3 linked regions of the Mus musculus genome follow. The protein of the gene in region 2 binds, or shares a complex with, the protein of the main gene of each other region. Links are inferred from orthologs where the notes say so. Each region holds a gene or a part of one and is shown on either strand. Other genes may lie near its edges.

Region 1 (5,013 bases), on a different chromosome or scaffold from region 2:
GGCATAACTATAACACTCAGGAACACCGCTCCACATTAAAAACAACAGGAACAAAAACTTAAATAACAACAGCCTCAGACCTTACCTCAGTCCTATCAAATTAAAAATAATAAAAGGCTAGATAGAAAAGATTATAGACAGTACACGGGCTAAAATATCTCTACCCTGTTTCTCAGCATATCAAATCATATTAGAAGTTAGTCATGTCACCTTACAAATCACAGAACTCATTCACTCCTTCACTGTGCTGACGTCTAAAGAGCTCCACAGGAGAAGATGGGGTAGAGCAGAGACAGGAAGCAGCAGGAATATCCCAAGCTCCAGGACAAGGAGCATGTACACTGGAGAGCCGCCCTGGTGTGCAGTAGGAAAGGTCCCAGACGGGCAGCCCAGGGCACTCACCTTCTCTAATTCTATAAGGAAGCTGTCCAGAGACTCATCTGAGAGTTTGCCTACTTCAAACATGGTGACTGCGTGGCTTTTCAAGTTCTGCAAAAAGAAGCACATTATTAAACTCTGCTTTTCCTTTTTTTATGCTAACAACATTTACTATGCTTCTACTACATTAAAACTGAAGGACAGGCAACGTGAGCGTGTGCTTCACTCCTCATTGGACACTCACACTGCTCACAGGAATGTAACACAGCTGGCTGCTTTCAGGACCTGTTCTAATCTTAAAGACATTTGCACAGCAGCAAATGACTTTATATCTTATCTTTACTGAAACCTCGTTACACCCACAGCATACCACTCACCGGTGAAAGGTTTCCCATCATTAAGAATGCAGTCAGAGTGGAGTCAAACAGGAATGCAATTCGCTTTGTGTACCCAGTGGACAGACTCAAACTGCTCACACTGGCCGTGTCAGCTGAAAGAAAAAAATGAAATATGGAATCAAGTCAATGAAAGCCTTCTTTGCTTATCTTCTGAACTAAGTTTTTGCTTCAGCTTTATCTGAACAGCCAAACAAACTTAATTAAATATAACCAATACCATAGTCTTAAGATATTCAAGTATTTTGCATCAGGGTCTCACTATGTAGCAAGGACTGGCCTTGAATTCCAATCCTCCTGCATCTAGCTCCCTGGTACAAAGATTACAGATATGTACCATTTCTTTCTTTCTTTTTTTTTTTTTTAAGACATTTAGATTTGTGTTCTTGCGCTAGTTTGTCAAATCAAACTGATACAAGCCAGGATCACTGAAGAAGGGAGAATCTCAATTGAGAAAATATCTCTGAGACACTAGCCTGAAGGCACATAAGTGGGGCATTTTCTTGACTACTGATTGATGTGGGAGGGCCCAGCTCTGTGCAGATGGTCCTGGGAAGTATGAGAAAGAGCTGGAGCCTGGGGAGCAAACCAGTGAGCAGCACTCCTCAGGGGCCTTTGCCTGAACTCCTGCTTGTTTCTGTCTTGGCTTCCCTTCACAACGGGCTGTGAGCTGGAAGCTCAAATAAACCCTTTTCCTCCTCAAGTTGCTTTTGGTCTTGGTGTTTTATCAGAGCAAGAGAAAAGCCTACAAGCACAGTTAATTTCCTTGAAAACCATAAACAAACATCCTTGGTAATCATCAGCTCAATAAGCACTACCAACAGGCTTATGTTCCTGAGTGTGTGGCCCAGGTGACAGGCAGAACAGGAGAAAGGCCAGCCCAGGCTCCGAGTACCCTCAGCGTCTCCCTTTGGCCTTAGCTGGCACTCTCTCTCTGGCTAACATGGCCTTTCCTGTGTGACCAGTGAATTCACAGCCGCTCTAACCACATCCTATTCCTGAAGGCAAAGGTTGGGACTTTGTTTATTTTTGCAGCCCCAGACACTACGACTATTTATGTTGGGGGGCTATACTCCATCCCTTCCTCCCTCAACTTAACTTCCTGACAGTAAATGCCACGTTCTTATTTGTCCTATACCTTCGGTGTTCACAACACTGGTAAGGACTCAGACTGCACACCACATAGGAAGCCAAAAGCAGAGCTATAAAGGAGATGCAGGGCTGTGTCTGGACATAGGGCGCACCGACAGACAGACTGTAAAGCACACTGAGGTGAGCGGCTGCTGACCTGGATCCTCTTGACTATTTGTGTCTGTGTCAGTAGCAGAAGAGGCTTCTTGCACGGGACTCCTACTCTCCCCGCCATCCCACGATAAGAGCATCTTTTGTGGGTCTAATGTGCTCCTATTAATGAAAAATACATTCATGTTTTTAAAAGCACATAAATGATCTCACGTGAACACAGCTACTGAAGTTGGTACTTGCAACTGTGAACAATCCACCCGAACATAAGCCAATGCACACATCTGAGACTGAGACGAGTTCTCAATCTGCTCTGGCCATAAAGAGCACTGTGACTAAAACCCAGGCACACGTTCTTCTCATTTCTTAAGTTTATAAAATAGTGTATGCGCTTTTTTCCTAAACAACGAGTTCTTGCTCTCCATCAGATTATACAGAAGATCCATCATACCCAGATGACTGAGGCACTAGTATACAGGATTCACCTCAATTGGCAGAGTAAATTAATAAAAATAAAAACAAAAACAAAAAAACCTTTCTGCATGTAAAAATTCTTTTCAAAAGGAAACTGTCATAAAGGACAAATGAATTACTTTAGTCTATTCACAGATGGAACATTCTTCCATGACGAATGAAGTTGATCCAAATTTATCACTTGTCCCTTCTTATGGGCAAAGCCCAATCGGCAATACATTGAAACAGCATTCTGAAAGGAACAGAAGGAAAATTAGCATTAAAACAGACATCAGATTATTTGAAGGAAAAAATTACCTTCCAAAACTAAGCCTCTGGTGATGTGCCAGAGTTCCTCCTGTACCGTGCCCACAGAACAGTCTGAGCCAGGACTGCGGTCCCTAGATCCTCTACTAAGGAGGCTGGAGTTACAGCTTTAACAAGATACTGACCAGGCTGCTTCTCGGTGCCCACATTCATGTGAGTGCTCTATTTCATCCCACCTGGTGGAAAACAGACTAAGGGCTTCCACCTTGCCCTTTCTCGCTCTGCAACCATCCCTCTACCATGCAGACTCCCTCAAGCAGCCAATAAGAATCAGTAAGTAATGTATCAAGATGAAAATCAACTAGCAAAATCCACCCAGTACTCACATTACAACGGGTTAAAAAAAAAAAAAACAAAAACAAAAACATACCTTCACCAGCGATAAGTCTATCTCAAGGACATTTGCAAGCTAGAAAACAAAAGTGAAAATTACCGTTCCATCTCAGAATTATCAGTAAGTCCTCTCAAGAATGTTTTTGCCACACTTACCTCTGCAACATTAGTGTGTTCATCTATAGACACAAATATCTTATAGAGTAGGGTTTCAAAATAATCACCTTGTACCCGATTCATTACAAAGCCTTCCAGAGGGGGGACTGAAATAAACAAAACGGACTTTTCTCAGCACTGGGTTTCATAAAACAACAGAGTGTAACTCAAATGCCTGTGCAAAAAGAGAAATCTTTCAGAAATTGAATACAGCTTCTATGCAATTCATCCACTCCATAGCAACCTTTCAGAAGTTCCCACAATTAAGGCCCACACAACATCACCTACACAGAGCTGTCTGAAGGTTCACAAGGAACTCTCAATTACTGAGGCAAAGAGAATACTAGACCGTTCAGCCTTAGTGAAAAGACACGAGCGGGGCTGAGCCTCAGAAGGGTTGAGAGAGCGGTGCTTTTGATGCCTATAGGCCAAGAAAATGTGCAGCAGAAGGAAGACTGACTGTCAGAGAGTTAACAGACGCCTTGGGAACAAGTGGAGGAAGGTTGGCTGCCTCCCCCATCTCTAGTTCACCCTGAGAAGAAACAAGTCCGCAGAGGTCACTAAGGGGCCAAAGGTCAAGACCAGCACACAGCAGCCACTGTGGTAGAGTGTCCATTCATATTCAAGCTCTCTCTCTCTCTCTCTCTCTCTCTCTCTCTCTCTCTGTTTTGTCCAAATGCTTTCATCTGATTTAGCAGCAAACTCTGCCTAGTACAGTAAAGAAGGCGTGTGCTTTTGTTCACATTCTTCCATGTGTACGCATCCCTTCAAAACATCCTGGGAAAGAGCCAGCAAAACAGCACTGGATGGATGGCAAGCCCAACAACCCACACTCAGTCACCCACATGGCAGAGAGAATTAGACTCCTGAAAGGCGCCCTATGACTTCCTTTCACACAAACACAACATGTCCATGGAACATATGCACTCATATACACAAAGGAAAATGTAAAAAAATGAAATCTCACAGAAAAGTGGAGAGCACAGGCCACTACATTTTTTCCAGTAATAAAAACTAAGGGTTCCTTTTTAGAAATGTTTAGCAGGGCTGGAAAGATGGCTCAGCAGTTAAGGGCACTGACTACTACTTCAGAGGTCCTGAGTTCAATTCCCAGCAACGACATGGTGGCTCACAACCATCTGTAATGGGATCTGATGCCCTCTTCTGGTGTGTCTGAAGACAGCAACAGTATATTCACATACATAAAATAAATATATACATCTTTAAAAAAAAAAGAAAAGAAAAAAGAAATGTTTTAGCAATTCCCTACCTAACAAGTTAAAACTTATGCTACAGTACTGCTGTGTCCAAGCATTTCCTGAATGAATACTTGCTAGGTGCTGAACACCTGCCAAATACAATGCATTCACCACTTCATCTTTTAGCCGTACAAGTTGTACAGTATTACAATTATCCCTTCCTTGGTGATACTAAGGTCCTAAGAAGTTAGACATTTCAACATATAATTTATATCTGGATAATAACATGAGAAAACTTACAGAAATATAAAATCAGTTTCTAATGTGTATTAAATTAACATAAAGTATTTAGTAAAATCCAGCTTAAGCTATGGGTCAGAAGCCAGCTGTGCATTTGTCCTTCTAAGACCCTGGCCACTGGGCTGGAGAGATGGCTCAGTGGTTGAGAACATGGTTGTTCTTGCAACTCCAGCTCTAGGTACATATACTGTAGTACATACACGTGTACATGTAAATACATAATAATAAAA
Region 2 (5,013 bases):
CTGGGAATTTCTAAATGAGGCCATGACTTGGGTTATCTGCCCTTAAGCAAACTCAAATGTATAATTGGAACAGGATAAACTCAGAAGTAGTTGAAAAACTTGACTGGCCAGGTAACAGATTCAAGGTCTCTTTTTCTGATACATTTAGAACTCTTTACAAATGTTGTTTAAAGATAAGGGATCATACAGGGTACACCTCTAGAGCAATAGAACTCAGGAAATAAGGTCGATTGATTAAAATAACCTTCTCCTACTTAGTAGCTTGGATGATCAAAGGATAGAAATGCAAGTTAGGTATTAGGATTTGCTATAGATAAAAAATTAGTTTAAATATTTTTCTATTTGTCTGGAGTGCCTTAAAACTTCAAATACTGCCAGTCTAAAAGCAGGCTGTCATATAATGGATATGTTTGCTTTGGCAGAGACATTCTTTAGATTCTTTGAATTGGAGTTATAGGGCTAATAATAAAATTAAAATCTGTTGTATTTGTGTTTTTTAATTGTGGCTGCACGTGTAATCCACAAGTAATGAAAAATGGAACACATGTCCTGAGTCACAATGATATAATGTGTGCTGCTTGGGTAACCATTACTCTGTCTTGGTTCTGGGAAACGGAGTAAGTAAAGGAGTAACCCGATTGCTAGTCAGAGCTGCAAGATTCCTCCAAGCACTGCTTCCGACTCCACACAGTAAGCTCTGTGATAGCCAGGGCTACCCAGAGAGACACTGTCTGAAACAACAAACAAACGAACAAACAAACAAACGAATGAGTAAGTAAGGGAATACATAAAATAGCTTTTACACGTACTTGAAAAAATTTACAAAATAACATTTTCTCAGTTCATTAAATATTCTTTATGTTTTTAAAATTGTACATGGTATAGGTATATTTTTATTTGACAGTATCATATGTTTAGTTTTTACATTTCAGAAAAGTTGGCTTTAAATAAAGCCATGTTTGTAAGTACACAAATATTTTGTAATTAATTCTCCCCACTGAATCAACATGAAATAGGAAAGTCTGATAAAGGAGCCTTTTGTTACATGGTGGTGGGGACACTTGATGATGTGTGGATACTTAGCTTGTAGTCTTTTGTTATTATTCCTAAAGTCTTGCCTTCCTTAACAGCATATTTTTAATATTTCTAATATTTTAATACTTTTTTTCTTCCAGATTGCTCTGAACGTTGCAGGGAAAGGTGATAGTTTGGCATCATGGGATGGTATTTTAGACTTGCCTGAGCAGAACACTATTCATAAAGATTGCCTTGAGTTTATCGGTAAGTTTGATAACCGTGAAAAATGTTATAATTTGGGATATCTTAAATTTGTAAATGTCTTGTAAATAGTTCTGCCCTTTAATAAACAAAATCTTGAGATACATAATTTTGAGAAAGAGCCAGGTTTTACTGTTTATTTTATAATATTGATTTTTCTTACACATTTATAGTTTTGTTATCCTCTTTACCTTGTTTCTCAGAATTGTAGGTTCACGTGATTATTTGCAGCCTTCAATTAGAAGAGCTTGTGTTCTGAATGTTTATTTATAAATAACAGGTCATGAGCTACTGTTTTCAGTTGTTACAAATCATAGATGAATAGTTTTCTAACCACCCTACAAAATCTGTGATAATTGATGGTACAGGTTAAGCTAATTCAATTTATACCTGTCTCTCTAATTCATTTATAATATCTTGGCCTCTTTGATTTTCTGTTACGTCTTAGTTAGCTAATGCATTGGTTAAATGGCTTCTGGGCACTGACTGTTCAGAAGCTGCAGTTTCTAGAATGTAGCTCAGTGGTGGCGCGCTTGCCTGGAATATATGTATGCAAGTTCTATCACCAGCTCTATTGACTGTCAGGCAGACAGACTGACAGACTTTATTACTAGTATGGACAAAAGAAAGGAAATTTGGACCAGAAATTTGAAGACTTTACATGATATGTATCCTATATTTCTGAGATCACCTTCATCTAAATAATGATGATATAGTTGTATTCATATTTAGTTTGTAGTTTATCTGTTTATTCTGTATGAGAGCTATCAGTATGAAAAGTCAGAGTTAGTTTTGCATGTGGATGTATGATTAGCATTATTATAAGATAAAAACTAAGATTTAAAATGAACAAAGGGAAGGAATAAAATACTGGATTTAATGGTAGAGAATGAATTACCCTTCTGCTTGCCAAAGCTGCACATGGTGGAGCAATTGGCAGTCTCCTTCGGAAGCATCCTTTGGCTTTCCAGCAGCTTGAGCTATGCCTGTCACTCCCTCCTGCCCTGCTTCACACTGGCCACTCCTGTGTTTAGCATACATATGGTCAATATTACTGAGTACCATTTGTTAGTAACTGTCTTCTGTCTTCCCTTTCTCTCAGGGCTAGGTAAGAAAACACATACACGAAACTGATAGTTGTTTTGTAATATCTGTCTTGCTTTAAGTTAAAACGAAGATTGGGAGACTATATTCAGCATGCAGTATTTCACTGTATGATGACGTCCTCATGTAACACAGTGCCGTGTACAATGAATATACACGATGGCAGCTTTAAAATGAAAACTAAAATGTTACAAAGGACATTGTTTACGTTTTTTCTTATGCTTTGCGCATGTGAGCCAATGTCTGTTAAATAGGAGACGGGCTAGACATAGCTCAGTGGGGAAACCTTTACCTAGCATATGTAAAGCCATGATCTGGTCTCACTACTACAAAAAATAAATATGAAGCAGACAATCACGAGACAGATTGCTCAGTGTTTCTGTTTTTTCATAGTTTAATACACTCACATGATGAGCGTGTGATGTAGTGTGCCCAGTCGCTAAGCCCTGTAGTTCCCTGATAACTTTAGTTTGATGCTTTATTCTAGAGCAGCTCTCAGTGCCAGAGGAGAAGGCAGCAGAATTACTCCTGGATATTGAATCTGTAATTACTTTTTACTGTAAATCACGCAGCGTTAAATACAGCACATCCCTGAGCTGGATTCATCTACTGAAACCATTGATCTGTCTCCAGCTGCCTCGCAGCGACCTATACAACTGCTTCTATGCCGTCATGAATAAGTACATTCCCAGGTAAAGTATGACTCAGTGGCTGTTAGAAAAGTCCGTTTCACTTTGAAATAAAGTTTTTTAGTTTTTTTGTTTTTGATGGTAAGGTAAAGCGGTCAAGTAATTTCTGAGGTTGCCTGAGGTATAGTTGCTCCTTGACTTTGTTCTTGTGACAAATACTTAACATTTTCATTTATCATGTATGTGTATGGGTGTTTTGCCTGCATGCATCTATACCACATGAGTGCCTGAGGAGGCAAGAAATGGGTGTCAGATTTCTGGACGTAAATTATGCTGGAAAAATACACTCACAGTGAGCTGCACTCCAATCTCTTGTTGAGGCTTTTTATTGGATAATGATATTAAGAGTCTATTCATCGCCTTTAATCCCAGCACTTGGGAGGCAGAGGCAGGCGGATTTCTGAGTTCAAGGCCAGCCTGGTCTACAAAGTGAGTTCCAGGACAGCCAGGACTATACAGAGAAACCCTGTTTCGAAAAACAAAAAGGAAAAAAAAAAAAAAAAAGAAAAGAAAAAAGAGTCTATTCATATGTTTATTGGTAAGTCCTTTATTGTCTTTGGCCACAAAACAGATCTATAGACAAAAATGATCTAGAGTAGAAAGAAACGTTGATTTGTCTGAAAGCCCCAGAAGTTTAAGTCTCAGCACGCTAAACCCATGCATATGTTTTCGAAAGCTCCCTAGAGATCATTGTTAGACCACAGCAGTGAACTTCTGTGCTTCCTTGAACTGTACTCCTCTGTAGAAAGCAAACAGGCTACAGTCCGACAACGCCGAAATCGGGACTCCACGTTAGGACTAACTCTGGCATACTATACCTGTCATCTGCTTGTGCTTTATGACTTCTTATGGGCATCTCTCATTTTAAGTCGTGGTGGTGGCACACACCTTTAATCTTAACACTCAGAAGGCAGAGGCAAGAAGACCTGTGAGTTCAAGGCCAGCCTGGTCTACAGAGTGATTTCCAGAACAGCCAGGGCTACACAGAGAAACCCTGTCACACACACACAAAAAAAAACAACCAACTAGCCAACATCAGCAAAACCAGAGAGAGAGAGAGAGAGGAGAGAGAGAGTTTGTGTGTGTGTGTGTGTGTGTGTGTGTGACATGGGTAGTTATGTTGCGCTGAGTCACACTCTGCCTTGTCACATTCTTCCAGTTCCTATTTCTGTGAGTTCTGTATTTAACATGGCACTCTAGCTATTGCTGGTAGAAAGAACATTGAACACTGAGCCCACAGACTGCTTATGGAAGAATCCCTTTTCAATATATCCTCTAATGACTGGATTACAAGATGGGTAGAGCTGTATCCAGCACAAGCCCTTGCCGTTAGAGTGACATTGCAGTATACAGACAGCCCTTAAATGAGTGCTGTTTCAGTGGCTCCCTCCCAGGGATGTTCACTGGTCCAGAAGATGAGGCCAGTTACCTTATGTTCCAGTGGTTTCCTGCCTCTGTGCTCTACCTTAGCATTCGATTGCTCTGCAGTTACCCAACTGGGAACGTGTTCAGACTTAGAACTACTCTCACAGGGATAAATCCAGTTCTGTCTCTGGCCTTCTGTGCACTGCTGTTTGTAATACCTAAGTGGGGAGATTTGAGCGGTGGGCATAGGAACTGGAGAGTTACGGCTCAGCAGGTAAGAGAATAGACTCTTTTTTCTTTTCTTTTTTTTTTTTTTCTTTTTGTTTTTCGAAACAGGCAGCTCATGCAGAGGACCCAGGTTCTACTCTCAGTGTTCCATGGCAGCTCCAACTGTCCCCCAAAACAAAAATAACAAGGTAGTGATAGCTGAAAGTCATAACAAACCATGGCAGGGATATAAAATATTATATTTACATAAGTAATTTTCATTTATTCCCTTTGGATAGCATTTTTACTTATTTTTACTTTTGTAGTTCTGAGAATTGAACCTATGTCTTCACACATACCAAGTATATGT
Region 3 (5,465 bases), on a different chromosome or scaffold from region 2:
GAAGTAAAAAGTGACAGCTGCCGACTGTCTTGCCCATCACAGAAGTGTCCAGCAGAGAAACATGAAGGCTCCAGAAAAAGGGACATTGGGCCAAGGCCTTTAGGTCCAGTCTGGCCCTTGGGACTTTCTGTTGCTTGTTTTGCTGCTGCAAATCCTCCTGAAATCCATTCTTGTTTGCAGCACGTCTACCTGCACCTAGCTGTAAGTCTACATTGCATGCACGGTCTCCTACAGCAACCATCACCAACAAACTTACAGCTTTTTCTTCAAACTACTATTTAAAAAATATGGGCTTAATGCTTTTACAAGTTCAGGCTTCCACTGTGGTTTGTTTTGAGTTGTGTGAGACAGGCACATACACAAACCTCCCAGCAAGCCATTTCTGTAGTACTGTTTTCATATAAGGACATAAAAGCTTGATATTAAAATTTAAATAATCTATTATTTTAGATACTTACATTTGGTTACACATGAGACAGCACACACACCAAAATCAATGTCTACAGTTTGGTCTTCTAATTAGAAATTTAAATTTCCAGGTAATGTATTTTAAAAATCAAATTCTCTGGCTTGGTTACTTCCTTTTTAATTATCTAAGTTTAAATATGCATCTACAAATTGTCTCTTTTGTCTTAGGTGACTAAGACAAGTTTATACTTTTAAGTTTTTATTTGCAATTTTTCCAAGCTGAAAAATCTGCTGGAAAAAAGAAAATAGGAAAGTAATGTGGCTAAAGTCCCTGGGGTAAGCTGCACCTCTGGAGCTCAGTCAGGAGCTCAGCTTTCCCGCTCCCTTTACCTTTGAAAGCAGAATATATAAAGTGAGCGCTCCTTTAGTATTAAGCATTTCAAGATATCTAGTACAATTAACAAATCTAATTACAATTTCTAATATCTTGTCCATATTCAAAGCTGATCAATAAACTTTTGATTTACTACATGATTTTGAAATCTGCAAGACAAAAATGTGGTTCTCAAATTTGTTCTGAGCTAGAAGCACTGTATGCATGATGTTGTAGTTTTCAAAAATTGTCTTAAGCATATCTTTTCTTTTTACAAAATATTTATAATGCTTTTTTGACTTCCAAAAGAATTATTAAAAACTGTAATCTCTATCCTGTTAATATCTTGATATTCTTGATTATTTTGTGTGCAGAAATAGTTTGTGGAAAAACCTTATGAAGAAATTGAAAATTAACAGTCGGAAACACAGAGAAAAATGCAGAAATATGAAAATGCACTTTTGTTTTTTAAATTGTAATTTAGGTAGACTATTTTTGTTGGACTGAAAAAAAGCTGGGGTTTTTTTGTTTTGTTTTTTGTTTTTTTGTTTTTTTTTTTTGGTGGGGGGAGGCAATCTAAACTGAACACACAGGTATTTCCACGGACTTGAGTCCTTTTTAGTTATCTAAGAAAAATTCCAGAAGCACCGGCTAATAAAAGCATCCAGTATTTTCAGTAGTGTGACATATGAAAATATTTTTAATGTTCTTGACTTCAACATGAATTTTAGCTGTACTTATAAATCACTTTCAAAAAAACTGTCTGAATTTGTTAAATATAGCTGTATATTTCTTAACATTGCCTGCTTTTCCAAACCACATATTATTTTAAACATTTTAAATTATTTTATTCCATATATAGATAGATAGATACACAAACAGATATGTTCAAATTGTCTAATTTAGAAAAATATTTAAAAAGTAATTGGACACAGCAACGTGTTTTTGAAAAGGTGCCGGTCCAAGATACTGTGTTTTAAACTCTCTGAATTAAGGGTCAAATTTTTTCTCTCAGGTAATCTAAAGATTAAAGCTACTTAGAACTTTACAGAATTAAAATTTAAAAACCAAACAGTATCTTTTTCATCAATTTAAACAGAGACCCTGGAAGCTTTAGCGTGGGTTTGGCTCTGTTTTGTTTTGTTTGTTTTCCCCCATGAGGTAGCATAAAATTAAGTCATAAAGAACAGGAGACCTTTATTTAACATAACTGAAGGCCCACAGATTATATTCATTCACTATTTCTCCGGTTTATTTCTGGAGACTCTTTTCAAAAACCACATTAGAATGAACACATTTCCATGCTAAGATTTGTTTCCTACTTATTTCTATGTAATATTATTTCTTTCAGTCTAAAAATGTAAAACATCCTTCAAATGTAAATGTAAACAAAAGCCCCAACACACTCCGAGCTAGTTTTCTATGCCTTGGGACCGAAGTTAACATCCTGCATCCTTTTATCCTTAAAACTGCTTGCACAGAATAAAAAATCCCTTTTCTGTGAATAATATGGTCAAACATATTTTCCACCGTGACCTAAACAGGGACAACTGTCCTGGCAAGACAGTGACAATCACGATACACAGCTTAGTTTTTCATTAGCACTTCCATAAATGATAAAAGGAAAAAATTAAAAGGCAACTGTTTAAAAGGCGGGAAAGCTGCAGCGTTTCACGAACTATGTTTCAAATGCAGCCCCTAAGGTCGTGGGGTGACCGTGCATTCCCCCATGTTTCAAGGCTGCTTCCATTCAAACCTTCCCTTTTCAATTAAAGGTATTATTACAAAGCTAACAATATTCATCTGGCTGCACCATTCAGACCCGCCCCCTATCTGAGAGAGCAGGAAACTGAGGCTCTGGAAGCCAAAGCCTCCATCAAAAACAAACCAAATACAGCAATCATACTGGAACATTGCTTTGAAAAAGAACAACAACAATAACAAAACCCTACACTGCTAGGCGAAGTGAAGTTCTGGTCAATAAAATCAAAAGCCATGTGCTATTTTGGGGGATTAATTTTCACATCCGCATCATGTTGGTTCCTTTTTTTGTTTTGTTTTGTTTTTTTAAAAAAAAGTTCGAATGGAGAAGCTTAATTTCCTGTGTGGGAAATGGAAAATGAAGCGCCTAGCACCTTGCAATCTCACCAACATGAGTCCTCGGAGGGGGGAGGGCGGGGGGGGGGGGCAGCAAAGCAATTACTCCTAGTGTACATGGCCACACCGAGAACTAGGGCCATTGGAAGAAAAATAGTGGGAAAGAAAATGAGCTGAGCTGAGCAGACCACACACACACACACACACACACACACACACACACACACTCCTTCCTGGGGGGGGGGGGTCTGCAAGGATTTGAGTCAGCTAACCACCCACCTGGCCCACAGAACCAAAGTGAGGCCATTGCAGGGGGGGGGGGGGGGAGTGCCAAACAGAACAGAACAAAACAAAAAGAAGGTTGGAGAAAGGCCTAGGTTCCAAGTCCTCGTGTTAAAACATATGTAAATCGAGGCTGCCCGACGGATGGTGGGGGAGGAGGACCAGGAGGCCCAGGAAGTGAGAAGGCAGGGCAGGGGTTGATACTGTGGTCCCCATTGGGGGTTGCAAGTGCCCCATAAGCCATGGCCGTGCTCCACTTCCTTCTGTATCACACTCCTAGTCGTCGTCGCCTTGTTATTGTTGTTGTTCTTTTTTTCTTTTTTTTTTTTCTTTTTAGACAGAGAGACAGACAAGAGACAGACAGACAGGCAGAGCCGCAGTGCACACGGTGTGTGTGTCTGGAGAGGCCGCCAGGAAGACTCACCGCAGCAATGCTACGTGAATGCAGAGGGCTGGAGGTGGTGTGACTACTCACTTGCTCGGCTAACAGCTGCCGGGTTTGGATGGAATTATTCCGCAACAACAAGAAAGCGTCGGTTAAACGCCTGGTGGCCATTGTCTCCCCCTTTGTGACCCCCCCTCTCAGGGTCTCCCACCCCCCCTTGTAGTCCTGATTTGTTCACTTTCTCTCTTGGTCTGGCCTAGCTGATTCCACTCTTGCACAGAAATCTCTCTTGACAAAGCCTTAGGCTTTTCACGGCGCGATTTTGCAATCCGCCTAAGCGCGGAGACCCCTCCCCAAATAACCACCTCGCCTTTTCCAACTGCCTGACTCCCCCTACCCCAAGGCTGGCTCGGATCTCAAAGCACTCGAATCCCCCCAATCCTAGCGTCGAAATCAAACGTCCTGGAGACCCCTCCCCAATCCCAGCTCGGATCCACAAGCGCCTGACGCGCCAATCCGGCTCGGGGATGGGAGAGACCCCTACCCACTCACTTCCTAAGACCTCCCCAAAGGTGCTGGCGCCCTAACCCTAACTCAGAGCGCCTGCGTGCCCGGCATGTGGCTCTAACTCCGAGTTTGGGTTAACTCTCCTCACAAAAGGCCTGCTCCAAACAGGCCGAGCCCACAACGACAAAGGAGCGTCTACAGCTCCCATATAGTCGCCTGAGCCTACTGAGGCTCAGCCCGACCTGACCCCTCTCTTTCCTGTGCGGCCTGCTTCTCCACTGCCAGGAGGCTGCGGGCCTCCACGAGGACCTCACGGCCTGCCTCCCCCAGCCTCCTCACTCCTCTTCACCGGCACCCTCCATCCCGGGATCAGGCTGCAACCCTGCCCAAGGCCGCTTCCGTGCAGTGGTCCCGGGCTCTAGCATTCCCCCGGCCCTCTTCCTGTCCGTTCCTCGCGGGTGCCCCCCTGCGACATTCATGAGATTGCTTGCAACGTTCCGGGAGCGGGAGCTCCCTTATTGCCCTGCCCCGGGATGGGAGTGCTCCGCCCTCTCTGGGACAGTTCCCGGGGCGCCTTCTTCCCCTTTTCCTAAGAGTGTACAGACTCTGGGGCAGGCGTCCTGGCCCCAAAAAACGGCTTCAAAACCTTGGCCCTGGAGCCGAAGACCACCACTGGGGTCCAGGCAATTGTAAACTTCTAGTAGGATTGTCAGGCAGGCAGAAATGTGGAAACGTGGCTCTTGCAGAGCCTAGTCCTGCGCGGGGGCGGAGGAAAAGTGGAAGAAGTCTGCCTCTGCAGGCCAGGCACGCTCCACTGCAGGCGCCTGGCGCTGCTGAGATGGCCTTACCTTTTTATTTTTTTATTTTTTTTCTTTAAACTGTGAGAAAAAAAAAAGTATCCGAAAAACAACCAGGCCAGGGAAAAAAGAAAAAAATAATAATAAAAAAAGCTTGGGCGCTAGGCCTTGCTGGCCTTACTGTGGGCAATAAAGAGTGGTCAGGCATCTACACTTGGGCACTACAATGTTGTGCCCAAGTGGGAAAGGTTCCTAAACTTAGAGACAACCCCTCAGCCCCACTCCCCCAAAAAGTACTTTGTGTTGAGGTTATGCCCACGTTTCCTCGAGCTGGGGTTTCTGGTCGCCTCCCAGTCTCTGGAACCATGCATCCCACTCGTTGCTACCCTGGCTTGGGGGGTGGGGGCGTCTCCCAGGGCCCCCCAGGGCTGCAGCTGCCGCACTCAGTGAACAGCAGCTCCGGAGGCTGGGGTCACCGGCAAGCCTGGATGACAGACCAATATCTGCAGAGCGACTTTATGGGGTGTCTTGCCCTCAATCTTGCTCTCAGCTTTGGGATCAGATTGGGAACAGTTTGGCCTGACTTGAGGGTCCCCTGCCTCTCCCGGGTGCCAGG

The links.
Region 1: the proteins of Tbc1d23 (region 2) and Fam91a1 are in contact, whole or in part, in a crystal structure (PDB 8JJ9), measured with the Homo sapiens proteins. The link is inferred for Mus musculus from reciprocal best matches to the Homo sapiens genes TBC1D23 and FAM91A1. Residues at the interface, in NP_001186127.1 of Homo sapiens: Arg533, His534, Val535, Ser536, Ser537, Asp539, Val541, Gly542, Lys543, Pro544, Tyr545, Arg546, Val548, Pro550, Val551, Phe552; in NP_659400.3 of Homo sapiens: Arg49, Glu60, Arg61, Tyr64, Asp84, Ile85, Lys88, Gly89, Leu90, Arg91, Ile92, Thr93, Phe95, Ser96, Ile159, Pro161, Tyr176, Ile177, Thr178, Glu179, Asp181, Ile182, Lys190, Asp194, Ile197, Asp198, Tyr216, Asn217, Lys218, Gly219.
Region 3: the proteins of Tbc1d23 (region 2) and Stx16 are in contact, whole or in part, in a crystal structure (PDB 8QQF), measured with the Homo sapiens proteins. The link is inferred for Mus musculus from reciprocal best matches to the Homo sapiens genes TBC1D23 and STX16. Residues at the interface, in NP_001186127.1 of Homo sapiens: Leu638, Asn639, Ser640, Val641, Val642, Lys643, Ile644, Thr645, Ser646, Lys647, Lys648, Ser661, Ser662, Ala663, Ile666, Thr683, Lys687, Ile690, Met691; in NP_001001433.1 of Homo sapiens: Asp209, Asp210, Asn211, Thr212, Leu213, Tyr214, His215, Arg216, Phe218, Thr219, Glu220.

Annotation. Positions count from the first base shown.
Region 1 is NC_000081.6:58,428,370-58,433,382, reverse strand, and holds part of Fam91a1 (protein FAM91A1), read right to left. Parts: intron 3,392-5,013; coding exon 3,285-3,391; intron 3,205-3,284; coding exon 3,166-3,204; intron 2,722-3,165; coding exon 2,609-2,721; intron 2,178-2,608; coding exon 2,062-2,177; intron 869-2,061; coding exon 756-868; intron 490-755; coding exon 403-489; intron 1-402. UniProt on the Homo sapiens protein: As component of the WDR11 complex acts together with TBC1D23 to facilitate the golgin-mediated capture of vesicles generated using AP-1.
Region 2 is NC_000082.6:57,210,432-57,215,444, reverse strand, and holds part of Tbc1d23 (TBC1 domain family member 23), read left to right. Parts: intron 1-1,175; coding exon 1,176-1,281; intron 1,282-2,869; coding exon 2,870-3,074; intron 3,075-5,013. UniProt on the Homo sapiens protein: Putative Rab GTPase-activating protein which plays a role in vesicular trafficking. Involved in endosome-to-Golgi trafficking.
Region 3 is NC_000068.7:174,075,309-174,080,773, reverse strand, and holds the start of Stx16 (syntaxin-16), read right to left. Parts: upstream 3,724-5,465; 5' UTR 3,717-3,723; coding exon 3,585-3,716; intron 1-3,584. UniProt on the Homo sapiens protein: SNARE involved in vesicular transport from the late endosomes to the trans-Golgi network.